3 linked regions of the Drosophila melanogaster genome follow. The gene in region 2 interacts genetically with the main gene of each other region. Each region holds a gene or a part of one and is shown on either strand. Other genes may lie near its edges.

The links. A genetic interaction does not mean that the proteins touch.
Region 1: of norpA (region 2) and ninaE, changing one suppresses a phenotype caused by changing the other (phenotypic suppression), as found in Drosophila melanogaster (3 studies listed by BioGRID).
Region 3: of norpA (region 2) and Arr2, changing one suppresses a phenotype caused by changing the other (phenotypic suppression), as found in Drosophila melanogaster (3 studies listed by BioGRID).

The regions. Positions count from the first base shown.
Region 1 is NT_033777.3:19,885,643-19,890,145, forward strand, and holds ninaE (neither inactivation nor afterpotential E), read right to left. Parts: upstream 2,565-4,503; 5' UTR 2,389-2,564; coding exon 2,381-2,388; intron 2,318-2,380; coding exon 1,757-2,317; intron 1,582-1,756; coding exon 1,434-1,581; intron 1,376-1,433; coding exon 1,098-1,375; intron 1,030-1,097; coding exon 903-1,029; 3' UTR 613-902; downstream 1-612. Other genes in the region: Ask1 (apoptotic signal-regulating kinase 1), read left to right, coding at 1-89. UniProt on the Drosophila melanogaster protein: Visual pigments are the light-absorbing molecules that mediate vision. They consist of an apoprotein, opsin, covalently linked to cis-retinal.
Region 2 is NC_004354.4:4,320,795-4,325,668, reverse strand, and holds the start of norpA (no receptor potential A), read right to left. Parts: upstream 3,044-4,874; 5' UTR 2,514-3,043; intron 2,061-2,513; exon of another isoform or gene 1,868-2,060; intron 322-1,867; 5' UTR 53-321; intron 1-52. Other genes in the region: mRpL33 (mitochondrial ribosomal protein L33), read left to right, coding at 3,538-3,578, 3,635-3,738, 3,802-3,851; NO66 (nucleolar protein 66), read right to left, coding at 4,080-4,874. UniProt on the Drosophila melanogaster protein: The production of the second messenger molecules diacylglycerol (DAG) and inositol 1,4,5-trisphosphate (IP3) is mediated by activated phosphatidylinositol-specific phospholipase C enzymes. Essential component of the phototransduction pathway.
Region 3 is NT_037436.4:8,646,649-8,650,593, reverse strand, and holds Arr2 (arrestin 2), read left to right. Parts: upstream 1-1,657; 5' UTR 1,658-1,768; coding exon 1,769-2,624; intron 2,625-2,691; coding exon 2,692-2,886; intron 2,887-2,948; coding exon 2,949-3,103; 3' UTR 3,104-3,333; downstream 3,334-3,945. Other genes in the region: Pex7 (peroxin 7), read right to left, coding at 1-52, 135-887, 956-1,047. UniProt on the Drosophila melanogaster protein: Regulates photoreceptor cell deactivation. Arr1 and Arr2 proteins are mediators of rhodopsin inactivation and are essential for the termination of the phototransduction cascade.

The sequences.
Region 1 (4,503 bases), on a different chromosome or scaffold from region 2:
CATCACCCACAACCACAACTCCCGGAACGCCGGGCATCAAAACGAAAATCAAGAAAAGCGAAAGCGAGTACGATTCGTGCAGCGAGTGACTGGAGTTGAAAGCTTTCTGAGTTGTGCCTTTACAGATACTACTGATTAATTGTTAATGTTCTCCATGTGCTACTAACCGCTGCGAGGCTCAGCTCAATGAGTCTCCAGCAGCCCTGGGTTAAGTTCTCCCATGCTGACTCATGTCTTTTCAACTTTGAGTTCGAAAAGGCGTTGTCTGTGTGTCCAGTTTTAACGATTGCATGTTAACTTATAAAAATGGAATTTACATAAGTGCCTTTAATTTAAAAAAAAAAGAAAACAAAAACTGAAATAGATAATATATTGTGAAGTGCTTTGCAAAAAAGGGGTATTTCTTGTTAACTGGAAAGGATTTATAGCTTCTGAAGAAGACTATTATACATATAAGAATGAATAAACTCAAATTTGTTGTGGTTCTCCAAACTTTAAAGGCGAAAGATAACCGAAAGTTGATATCCGAACTTTTGTAGGTTCGTCATTAGGGTTTTTCCACGCTAAAAGCTGCTTTTGTTAGATATACTATGTTTTGAAAAGGCTCATTTTAATTTATAACTTTTCTAGTTCGTTTGCATTTATTTTTTTTGTTGAGTTTTTTTTTGTCCTTAACTGACATTGCAGGAAATTTAATAACTGAGTTTACATTGCTTTTTGTTATGTAAGAAAGTTGCATAATTTTTTCATTATTGTTGAAGTTTTTGATGTTATTCGAAAGCGTTTCGTTCTGTTGCTGCAGTTGTTCTTGCTGTTGTTTTTGTTGCTGTTGTTGTTGCTGTTGTAAGTAGTTAGATGTTCTTGTTGTTGTTGTTGCTGTTCTGGTTGTTGCGCCAAAGAATTTATGCCTTGGACTCGGCCTCGCTGGCGGTGGCCTGCGATTGGGCATCGCTCGATTTGCCATCGTCGACCTTGCCAAAGACGCAGCAAGGACACTTCTCCTTGAGGGCCAGGCGATATTTCGGATGGCTATACGGAATGAAAATAAAAAATTGGTTAAATATTAAGGTATATACGTTTCATAGCCCATAACCAACCTGATGCCGTATACAATTGGATTGTAGCAGGCGGCCGATTTGGCGAAGCAAGCTCCCCAAATGGTATTCAGTGGTGTAAGGCCCTCGAACTTGAACAGTCCCATGCAGTTGATGACCAGGTATGGTGTCCACGCCATGAACCACAGCGTGATGGTGACCAGAGCCACCTTGGCCAGCTTGCCCTCGGCGCTCTTCTCGGCATCCTCAGAGGAGCGGAGGGACTTGACATTCATCTTCTTGGCCTGCTCGCGCATGGCCTTCTCGTGGGCGGAGACAGCCTGTGGGAGGATATATCGGGTTAAGCGACTGGGATATGCGAGTCTCGTCGCCACTTACAGCAATGATGAACCAGTAAGAGTAGCAGATCAGGAACAGCGGAATATAGTACACGAAGATGGAGTAGAAGATCAGGTATGAGCGTGGGTTCCAGTCGCGTTCCAAGTAGTCAATACCGCACGAGGTCAGGTTACCCTCCGGCACATACCTTTTAGATTAAGAATATATATTTATAGGATAATGTTAGGTGGTAATAATATTAATACAATTGTAATTTGTAAACCTTTTGTTTGTAATTTAAGTTTTTAAACATTTGTATATAGTAGCTTTGATCATTTTTTAAAAAATGGGTTCCCAGAAGGTTTACCATTTCAAGGACTCACCTGCTCCAGCCGAAGGCGGGCGCCAGGCACCAAATGCTCGACATGAACCAGATGTAGGCAATCTTGCCCAGGGCCAGCGGAATGGTCATCGGCCGGCCGGCCATGCCCTTGACGATCACTTGGTAGCGATCCAGGGAGATCATGCACATGGACCAGATGGAGCTGCAGCCAAAGGCCGAGCCCAGTCCGGCGTATATGTCGCACATCATGGGTCCGAGCACCCAGGTCTCGAAATACAGATTTATGCCCATCATGGGCGTGTTTGTGATCATGATGCCAAAGTCGGAGATGGCCAGGTTGATGACCAGCAGGTTAGCGGGCGTGCGCAGTGATTTGGTGGTGGCGAATATGTAGATCACCACGCCATTTCCGCACCAGGAAATCATGCCGATCATGATCATGTAGGCGGTCAGGATCTTGGCCCAAATGGGGTCCATGGCGGGGAACTGGTTCCAGTACGGGCTGATCAGGTGGGCCATGTCGGGCGTGACCTTGTCCACCACCGATCCATTGGACAGGGGGGCAAAGTGTGGCCCCAGTTGCGCGGCTGCTACTGCAAAGCTGCAACACCGAAGCAAATGTTAAATTGCTAACCAGAACATCCAGTGGATCCACCGATCGTACCTCTCCATTGTGTTTTGGTTACTGGCTGCGTCACTATATCCCGCCTATATCACACTGTCTACATAAAAAGCTGCAAATTCACTAACAATATTTCTAACACTTTTTACATAAAGGGTTCCTGGATTCTGAATATTTCACTGGGGCGGACTAGTCGCGGCGATTGGTCGTTGGAAACCTGCAATGTCTGCATTCTGCCGCATGGCTTTTATAGTTTTCGCGGTGCTCGTGTAACCCCTGCTCTTGAAATTCAATTAGGCCAGCCTAAAAATATGTCTGCAATGTGCAGAGGAAAGTGTCGACAGCTTTTGGCTTATAATCATAATATCCATAACGAAAGCAAGCGCACATCGCAATGGGCCAATGTCAATAGTTAAAGGCATTTCAAGGGTTTCCACTGGGGGTTCTGGCCGAGTATTATTCTTGAGTCTCCAGATTGTGCAGAAAGCAATGGCGAAAGTCAGCGATTTAATGTGTCAATGCCTAGACAAATTTGAAGAATATTATGAAAACATATCGTAGCAGAAGAAATATCAGTATCGTTCGCCTGCGACACCAGTGCGTATGCGCAATCAAGTATACGCAGTGTGTGCGCCGATGAACGCACATCTTGAGGGCTCTGCTAATCTTGGATTATCTTAAAAAGAATGCCAGCTTTTGGAAGTAGTAAAATAATCTATTTAAATTAAGAATATGAACACCCCAGACGCTAAGCCGCTTATGGATTTTTTGTGCTGATTGATCTTTTCGCACCTCCATTGAATTTTCCGAACATGTTTTGTTTCTTTTCTTTTTGGTGTGGGCAGCTTGGATTTTATTTTGTCAGTCCAGCTTTGGCATAAAAGCCTTTTGTTCGCCTTTGTGCGATGGCTCAACACATCAGCTTGAATTGGGTCAAGTTTTAGGCTAATCCAAATGGCCAAATGGGATGCCACGCTTTGCGCCCAACCCAAATATGGAACTAAACCGAAATAACTGTCAGCTGGTGTGACAGTCGACACATGTCGGCAGATCTTTCGGTTTAAATCAATTACACACCGCAAAACAATACAAAAAAAGCGCAGGTAATAAATATTCATATAAAGTTAGCCAGCGCAAAAAACTAACAAAAATACCGAGGCGCAAAACCGGAAGCTGCGCTCATATCGCCATTATCATTACCATCAATTTGATCATCATGATCATTATATTGGCGTCATCGTTAGCCGCACTTGCGGTTCCCATACTTACGTATTTACCTACAGTTCTGTGTATGCATATATACAAATAATCTGGGTATAAACCATGAATCGCATTTCAATTTATTCGGCATTTTCGGGTTTCGCTAAACAACAAAAGTCCCCCGCCCACCTGCTAGATGGCCCAAACATAAAAGCCAAGTAACGAAATGGGTATAGCAACAACAGAGACATATGGACAAGCCAACTTGCAACAAACATTGCGATGTGAAGTGGAAGAAGGCCGCCGAAGGCGGGGAAGAAGACGATCATTTAGCATTAGCAAATAAGCGAGATAAACGCTGCGATCCGTAGACGTTGTTATTGTTGGGGAATTTGTTGTTTTCCTGCTCAATGAGGCGGGCAAATTTGAAACTAGAGAGGCAGAACCAAACTTACCCGGCACTTTGAATGCCCTTCTCTGTAATATTTAATACGACAATAATACATTTATGTTGATCGTGTATTGATAACGATAAAGATTTGAGTTCGGGGTGTATGTACCTGAAAGTATGCTCTGTATATTTCACGAATTTAATAAGTAAGTAAAGTATAAGTAAGTATAATATAATATGCTTATAATATAATATTATTATTATATTCAAATAATAGCGTTTTATTATAATACCTGGTATTTACGTGACATGTCCAAACTTCTCAAACGAACCGTGACACCCTGGCTCCAGGGCACAGTGTATAATTAACAAACACCTATGATTTGATTTTTGTATTTTTATGTTCGACAATGGATTCGCGCTCGCCAGTGTGAGTGACGCGTGTGTGAGTGTGCGTGTGAGTGGGTAAACGGCGGCAAGTGTTCTGCCGACGTCGCTGCCGCTGCGCCGTCGTGTGGGGGTAGGTGAGAGCGCAGAGAGAGAGAGCGAGAGGATGATGGAGCGGCTGCTCAAA
Region 2 (4,874 bases):
TTTCTCTCAGTGTCCTGATCATAGTTCGTGTTGGCTTGTGTGTTTAACTTACGTAGATATGTATTTAATTAATTGGCTTCGGCTTTTGTTGTTCCTGCTTTTGCTACCTATTTTTGTTTGTTATTCTTGTTTATTTATATTTGTTTGTTTTTTCCCGCCTTGCGAATTTCAGTTTGAAGAGCATTGCAAGATTTACAGTTTGATCAGTCGGCTGTCGCACTCTCTCGCTCTCTCCACGTTTCCTTAAGTTTACTCACAACAGGTAACACTGTATTTGGTTGCACTTGTTTTTTTTATTTTTTGTATTTCAGCTCACAGCCACTGCAAAAAATATGCGATTGCTGTGAAAATGTACACACATAAAAAAAAGAAAAAGAAATAGAACAGGTAATAATAATACAATGGGTAAACATGCGGCAAACAAAACCGAAACTGACACCAAAACGAAACACGTTGCCGTTTCGCTCTCTCTCCGTGCCGTGTTCCCTTGTTTATCGCGGATTATATTATGCGAGCGGACTAACGGGAAAAGCTCCGGCGGACGACCACTGACCAACTGAGAACGGAGAGCCAGCAACGGAGAACTTTTATCTCAAGTACAGTGGGGCCTTTTTGTGCAGACGGATAAGTGCTGATTTAAATAATTAATCTGCATATGAATATATTGAACAAACTAAACTGCTCTATAAATGCTATGAAACTAAACAGTACACATTGATGACTATCCACTTTTATGGCCAGCTATATACGTGCGACGAATGACTACTGTACCGGCGCTCTCTGCTGCTCTTGCCCGCTCTTTCTGCGTGGGTGATGATCGTGCGAGAGAGCAAGTGCAAATATGATTATTGTTCCTTCGCCTGCCGTTCTCCTCTCCATTTCTTCCGCCCCATCATGCAGCCACACACCAATACCTATGGTGCGTTTGTGTGGGTGCGATGAGTGTGCGACGGCGTTCGCTTTAACGGTTTGTTTGTTATTTTATTATTATAGCTTTATTGCACAATCCCAGGCCACCCACCGCCCACTGGCACGCCCCCTTTCGCTCGGTTGCAGTTCAAACAAACAAAAGGAAATGAGGGAGAAGCATAATAAAGCTTCTGATCGCCACACTTGCCACAAAAAGTAAGCTACGTAGAACTACAGTAGAGCTTGAATAATGCACATTTGCAGCTTGGGCGAGAGATGGAAAATATGAGTATTTGCTAATTAACACCTACAAAATTAAAAAGAAAAAAAATGATAAAGCTAAATGGGAATTGGATGATTTAAAGTATTTGCGGCTCAATTTTTTTAAATTTGTTTTGTTTATCGGTCGTAAATCATTATTTTTTTTATTTTGAAATAACAGTGTCGAATAACTCAGTGATTTTACACTAAAGTTTAAATATTTTAAACTCTTAAATTTTTCGAGTAAAATATTGTATTGTTAACAGAAAAGTGAGCGTTTATAAAAAAATATCAATCTTACAAGCGATTCATGAATATGTTGTACCATGTCTTTTGTTTCTTTCAGTGCACAGTGGCTGCGTGGACGTCGACAGAGGGCAAAACAAGTGGCCGTCGTTAGTGCGAGCGAGACGCGGCGACCAAGTGCGGATGGGTGCGAGCGAGAGGGCTGGCGGACTGGCAAATTGTTGTTTGCTCTGCCGACGTCGTTTTTTGCGTGTGTAAATTTGAATACTTCAATTTTATGTGTGCTTTTCCCTCCCCACCACATATCCACACCATCCTAACAACAACAACCAGCACCTTGTGTTCGTGTTTGCGTCGGCGTGCGCGCAAGTAAATTTCTTCTAATTTAATATTTTGTTTATATTATTTATTCATATACTTATGTATTTGCGTAGCCCCTCCCACAACTAACCCTCCTTCGAGCACTTGTTTGTTTATGTATTTCACCTGCTCCTGCTCCGCTCCAGCCCACGTTTCGACCATTTCTTGCCCCTCGTCACGGCCAAGTTTACGTTTTTGGTAAATCATTTACAATTTGGATTTCCGATCGCTTTTCGAAAACCCCCTCTCGAAATATCAACAATCAAGCACTTTGCCAGATGCACAGAAAGAAACTGATGTGATTTCAATGGCTTACTAGCTGTTCGATATTTGATTAAGTTGATGTCTCTAAAGAAGGAAAACGTTTTCCACAACTTTTCTTCTTAAACTCGGAAAGCGATCTGCATGCAATCGAAAACTTTTACTGCAGTCTTTCATTCGTACAAATGCGCTACGAAAATAATTTAACAACTTACACATGGATCACATTACCACTTTTATCAATGAGTAATTGTAAATATTTGTTGAAAGCTATTTGAATTTTTGCCGTTAGTTTTTAGTGATTTATGTACTTAGGAACACACTGAATTCCAATGTGCAATTCCGGCAAATTGGCTACTAAGCGGGCTTTAAAAACTAATTTCGCTTCTGCAACCCTCAAAACAGAGAACTTTTGAATATGCAAATGCAAATCAACAAAAAACAAAAAAACGTATTTTTCGCAATCTGCCTCCTACCTTAGATTCTCCGCAGCTCCTCTCCACCTCCTTTTCACGCTCTTGTCTCTCTTTTGAAGCTTCCTTCGCGTTCGCGTTTGTTTGACTTTGATTCCGTTTGGTTGGTTTGTTTGTTGTTGCCACTCTTTGGCTGTTTCTGTTTTTATGTTGTTATCTCTTTCTTGTCAGCTTCTCTGCACTTTCAAAAAACAAACACTGTAAAAAAAAAATGAGTCTTGTTTACCACGCGCGAGTATGGGAAATTCTCGGGAAACCAACTCGTAAAAAAAATATTTAAAAGGGAAAACAAGAGCAGGGCAAGGCGAAAAGGAGTTACAGAAAGCGCGTGTGGCTGTGATTTATTTTATTATACGGTTTCGCCCACAAAGGACTTCACTGAGCTTTTAGTGCGTCTATGTTTTTCGTTCTATTTTTCCAAGGCTTCAGTTTTTTTACACGGAATTTTGACCGTTTTGTTTTTCGTTTGTTTTTATTTGTTGTCTGTTGTTGTTGGTTTCCGCAGCACAAATGAAAATTCGCGTCCGTTTCGCACGAGTGTTAGTGATGTAAAAAAGCATCGAATGCATTGACCACCGATGTTTCTCGACGATACATTTCAGTGCTTGCGCTTGGTATCGATTGGCTTCTGTTAACCTCAGTGGCACAGCTTGCAGTCTCTAGCACGGACTCAAACCTGTATGTTAACTTTTTAATATTTAATTGGCAGGGACTTCAACCAAAGATACATATGTGAATGACTTCTACTAACCACATTGCATCTGAGAGCTTTTTAGCAATTTCGAAAGGAAGGCTTTAAAACAGAGAGACATAAATGCATCAAATATAAATATAGTAATATTAAATATATACTCATCATACGTGGACACCGATTGTTTTTCAAAATATCCGGGTGAAAAGCTTGAGCCCTCGGGTGGTAATCGATAGGCGCAGTCAGCTGTTCTTCGTTCCTATCGTCTTGCTTGCACAATAATTTCAGCGGCATATTTCCATAATTCACTGCATTTTCCCCATTTACCGAATCAAAATGCGTCTAACTAACGTTTTGTTCAAAAAGGTGAAGAGCAAGTGAGTAATTTGGACATCCAATTTGTTCTTTTTGTTAAAACCAACCGTTTTTACAGGCGCATCATGGTCGTACTGGAAAGTGTGGTCAGTGGACATCAGTTTAATGCTTTTCGCGATCGCTTGGCCGACAAATTGGAGATAATACGCTTCGATCCGTACAGTGAGTGCCGGCCATCACTGACTTTATGCATATGCACTGATGTTGCCCATGTTTCTTTTTCAGTTCAACAGGAAAGCCTTTATCGTGAACGCAAGAAAATCCGCAGCGCCTAAGATAACCATTTTTTGTTAGTGAAAAAAATAAAATTTACAACTATTGGAAACACCAAAAAACAACCGAGATATATGTGCGAATGTGGGTGCTTTATTTTCGGCAGAATAGGAGCATTATAAATCTGGTTACATATTTATACAAAAATATTAATTTACGCTCGTTTTAGATACACATTCGCATCGATACTTAATTCTAATTATCAACAGCAACTCGCTTTCGATTGCCGTCTACTTAAACGGCTTCTCGGTCATAAGAAGACCATGCTCCCACAGGGCGGTGGCGACCTCTATCTTGCGAGCTGAAGACTCCAATGGCAACTGATCAATGGTGAGGTAAAATGGATAGGCCGATATGAGGAGCTCAACGGCTTTAGCTTCCTCTGGCAGAATCTCCATGAAATAGGGCTCGTACTTGCAGTAATCCAGGCCATTGTCCACATGGTGGTAGATACGCACGCTGCCATCGGACTCGGTCACCAGACGCAGAATGTTGGCACGCAGCAGGCGCACGGATGTCTTTTTATTGAATTTGTAATCGCAGACGCAGTTGCCCTGCTCATCGGCATCACTGCGTGCCCCATGAACAGTGCGCACCTCCTCCGAGGGCAATACGATCGGCGGAAGTGCCTCGTGCTGGAACTTCTTGGCCATCTGGTCGACGGCCTCATCAATATCATCTTCGGAGGGCATCAAGTAATTGGTCACCAGCTTCTGCACATTCTCCACCAGCTGTTTGCGCGACCCGCAGTCATTTCCCTTGTAGGCATTGCCCAAAACTTGAAAAGTGTGCAGCGGCAAGCCGCGACGCAAGGCCACACTCCGATCGACGGCCTTCTTAAGAACCATGGGCATTAGTGTCTCTAGAAGATTGGCATATGCCTGCTGTTGGTAAACACTCAAGGTAATGTGCAGCGAGTGCTGTTGCTCTTCGGTGATGGCCTGGTGAACAGCGCCTCTCGGGAAATATAGTACATCGCCGGCGCTTAGTACCTCATCAATTATGGGCTTACCCAGCTGCTCTTG
Region 3 (3,945 bases), on a different chromosome or scaffold from region 2:
GTGCCGCGCATTGACCTCCTGGGCGGACTCACCACGCTCCAGATTCCAAATCCTAAAAAGGTGACAAAAGTGGACAGTTGTTACTAACCATAAAAATGTCCTGTTTTTTGAAAGCCTAAGATCATTCCACTTACCTTGTGGTAAAATCATAATTGGCCGATGCCAAGACCGCTGCCGAGTGCGGTGAACAGGCCAATCGCCGGACAGCGAATTCTCCAGAGTACAGCTCAAAGACGTGCGTCCTCATCTTGCGCAGATCCCAGCCGCGGATCAGACCGTCCGAACCTCCAGTGACCAGGACATTGCGATCGAAGTGCGACCAGTCGCAGCATAGTGCCTCACTCGCATGCGCCTCGATGCTCATCAGGGGTTTACCTGCAAAGTCAAGAGAGTTCCATAAGTTAAGATGTCCATCGGTACTTACGCTTGCAAACAGATTGGCGATCAGGGGCGAGAACTTGGCCCCGTAGATCAGATCGTTGTGGCCCACAAATGTGGTGATGGAGTTCTGTCTGTTGCAGTCCCACAATTTCAGTGTACAATCCCAGCTGCCCGAGAGCAGCGTGTGGTAGTTCCACTTCTCGCCCCAGTCCAGGCTGTACACCTCGTTCTTGTGCTCCTGCAGGCAGATCAGCGGCTGTTTCGGCGTCAGCTGGTTGCTCGCCGATTCGCCATCCAATCCGCACCAGATCTGAAGCGATCCATCTCCGGAGGCAGTGGCGGCGATATCGGCGGCATACGGACACCAGGCGACGTCGAACAATCCATCGGACCACTCTAGGCGGCACAGCTCTCCGAGACTCTGGCCATCTGTGGATGAGGAATTTGTGTTGGAGTTCTGTTCCAGCAGAAAGAGGGAACCACCTCCAGCAAGACCGTACAGTTGGCTGGGTATCGAAAAAAAATGGTTTTCTATTAGTATATTGTTGGTTTTAGAGCTTAAGATTGATCTCACCTTGTAGCTAGCAGCAAGTAGTTAGCCTCGAAAGGCGAAAAGCGCAGGCTATAGCCATGTCGGTCTGTGGTGGTGTGTGTCTGTGTCTGCATCTTGGTTCTAGATCTCAACTGCAAAGAAAAAAAAAGGAGAGATTCAAAATAATACCAATTTCTCTGGACCTTAAATATTATCTAACATTAACTACAATGAATTGCGACCTTTGGTAAGCTAGTTGTAAGAAATGCCAATTTCAATTATACCTCTCACATTAAAATCAATATATCGACGTTTGATACATAACAAAATTAAAAACATCTAAGGTTTCTCCTTGCTGCCCACTGATGTTTGGCTAAGAGAGAACAAAACTGGCCGATTGATAACAACCCGGTAACACCAAATCGGATGCTAATCCAGCTCCAACCTACCATGCTCAATTATTCAACAGTTGGCCAAATGACCTCGTACTAGGTCGGAAAATCGGAAAAAGATACTTGACATTAGCCAATTTGCTCGGGCAAGTGGCAAACTGCGCAGAAAATAGAACAACCCCTGGAAGCAGCTTGTTTGCAGTTTTCCCTTAGTTCCTATGGTTCTATCTTATTGTCGTGTTGGACAAGCCAACAAACAAGTGCATAACGAGCAAATCCAGTTAGTGGCCAGAATGAAGACCCACGGACAGGGCCAGGGCAAAGGTATATAAGCAGGTTGTACGGCACTTGGGTTTCGCATTTTCCTCCGCCGAACGGAAAACTCTATAACGCGCATCGCCCGACTTAGCCTCGAATTGCCCAGTTGCATTTGCCAGGAATCAAAGAAATCCACTAATCCACAATGGTTGTATCCGTGAAGGTCTTTAAGAAGGCCACGCCCAACGGCAAGGTCACCTTTTATCTGGGACGCCGCGACTTCATCGACCACATCGACTACTGTGATCCCGTCGATGGAGTGATTGTGGTGGAACCGGACTATCTAAAGAACAGGAAAGTCTTTGGCCAACTGGCCACCACCTATCGCTATGGTCGCGAGGAGGACGAGGTCATGGGAGTGAAGTTCTCCAAGGAGCTTATCCTGTGCCGGGAGCAAATTGTGCCCATGACCAATCCCAACATGGAGATGACACCGATGCAGGAGAAGCTGGTCCGCAAACTGGGCAGCAACGCCTATCCGTTCACCTTCCACTTCCCGCCCAATTCGCCCAGCTCCGTTACTCTGCAGCAGGAGGGCGACGACAATGGCAAGCCCCTGGGCGTCGAGTACACCATCCGGGCATTTGTGGGCGACTCCGAGGACGATCGCCAGCACAAGCGGAGCATGGTCAGTCTGGTGATCAAGAAGCTGCAGTACGCTCCCCTCAATCGTGGCCAGCGTCTGCCCAGCTCGCTGGTCAGCAAGGGATTCACCTTCTCGAATGGCAAGATCAGTCTGGAGGTTACGCTGGACAGGGAGATCTACTATCATGGCGAGAAGACGGCTGCCACCGTCCAGGTGTCGAACAACTCCAAGAAGTCCGTGAAGAGCATCAAGTGCTTCATTGTGCAGCACACTGAGATCACCATGGTGAACGCCCAGTTCAGCAAGCATGTGGCCCAGCTGGAGACCAAGGAGGGCTGCCCCATCACTCCGGGCGCCAATCTCACCAAGACCTTCTACTTGATTCCGCTGGCGGCTAACAACAAGGATCGCCATGGTAGGATTTGGATGTGATAGTTGTGATTCTGGATAGTTTCTAATGGATTATTTAATTGTGAACTCAGGTATCGCCCTGGATGGTCACTTGAAGGACGAGGATGTCAACCTGGCTTCATCCACCATGGTGCAGGAGGGCAAGTCCACGGGAGATGCCTGTGGTATTGTCATCTCGTACTCGGTGCGCATTAAGCTCAACTGCGGCACTCTGGGAGGTGAAATGCAGACGGATGTGCCCTTCAAGCTACTCCAACCGGCACCTGGTAAGCTTTAGAAGATTACTTGAACTTGACTTCTAGTTTGTAATTCCTTTGATGTGGTATAGGAACCATTGAGAAGAAGCGCTCGAATGCCATGAAGAAAATGAAGTCCATCGAGCAGCACCGCAATGTGAAGGGCTATTACCAGGATGATGACGATAATATTGTATTCGAGGACTTCGCCAAGATGCGCATGAACAATGTGAACATGGCGGACTAGGCCACCGATCTTCAATCTCTTCTAGCTCTGTTGTGAACCGAATTGAACTAAATCGAAAGCACTGAAAATTTGTTGCAGCAGTCTCTCGTGGAGGCCACAATCTTTGTATTATAATCGTATCTATAATGTAACTTTGGTGGATCTGGAGTTTGTACCCGTACATATGCATGTTGATGAGTTGAACAGACCTCGTGTCGCTATATTATAAATGTGTTATGGCTATCAAAAGCACTCACCTTTTCTCTCGTTTGCGATGTAGTATCCAAAAGTGATTCGGTAAGGATTCGGTTTTTGGTAGTGGATTGTTCTTGGCGGTGCTGTGGGTTTCAACTTCAGAAGTCGAATGATCTAAACAACTGCGCAGCTCGACGACGAAGGATCTGCTGGCAGGAATTCTAAGGGTGATTTTTCAACGATGACAGGGGGTTGAAAAGCCCAATGCTTATAGGTCACATCGTAGGCTTTCAACCCCTTGCAAGAAGCAACAGGCTGCCAGGATATGTGTTCCACCAATCAGGATCAACCAGAACTGGATATGGCCGGCTCTAACGGTCAACGGAAGTTCCAAGCTCCAGATGTTGACAATGCGTTTGCCAAAATACACAATTTTTGTGTATGCTAAATAGCCCAAGCTTTTGACCTTGATGATGGCTAAGGCCGCCAGCTGCCAGCAGTTTGATTCTAGGTCTCATCCCCGTCAGTCTAGCTGATTTTCCTCTTTTTTTTGGTTTTTTCTATTTTACAATTTTCTCGCATTTTATTTGCCATATCTTATATAAGCCCTGCAGCTGACCGTTGGAGCATTGCACAATCCGGGGCAGCAGCGTCGATCGATTTCACAC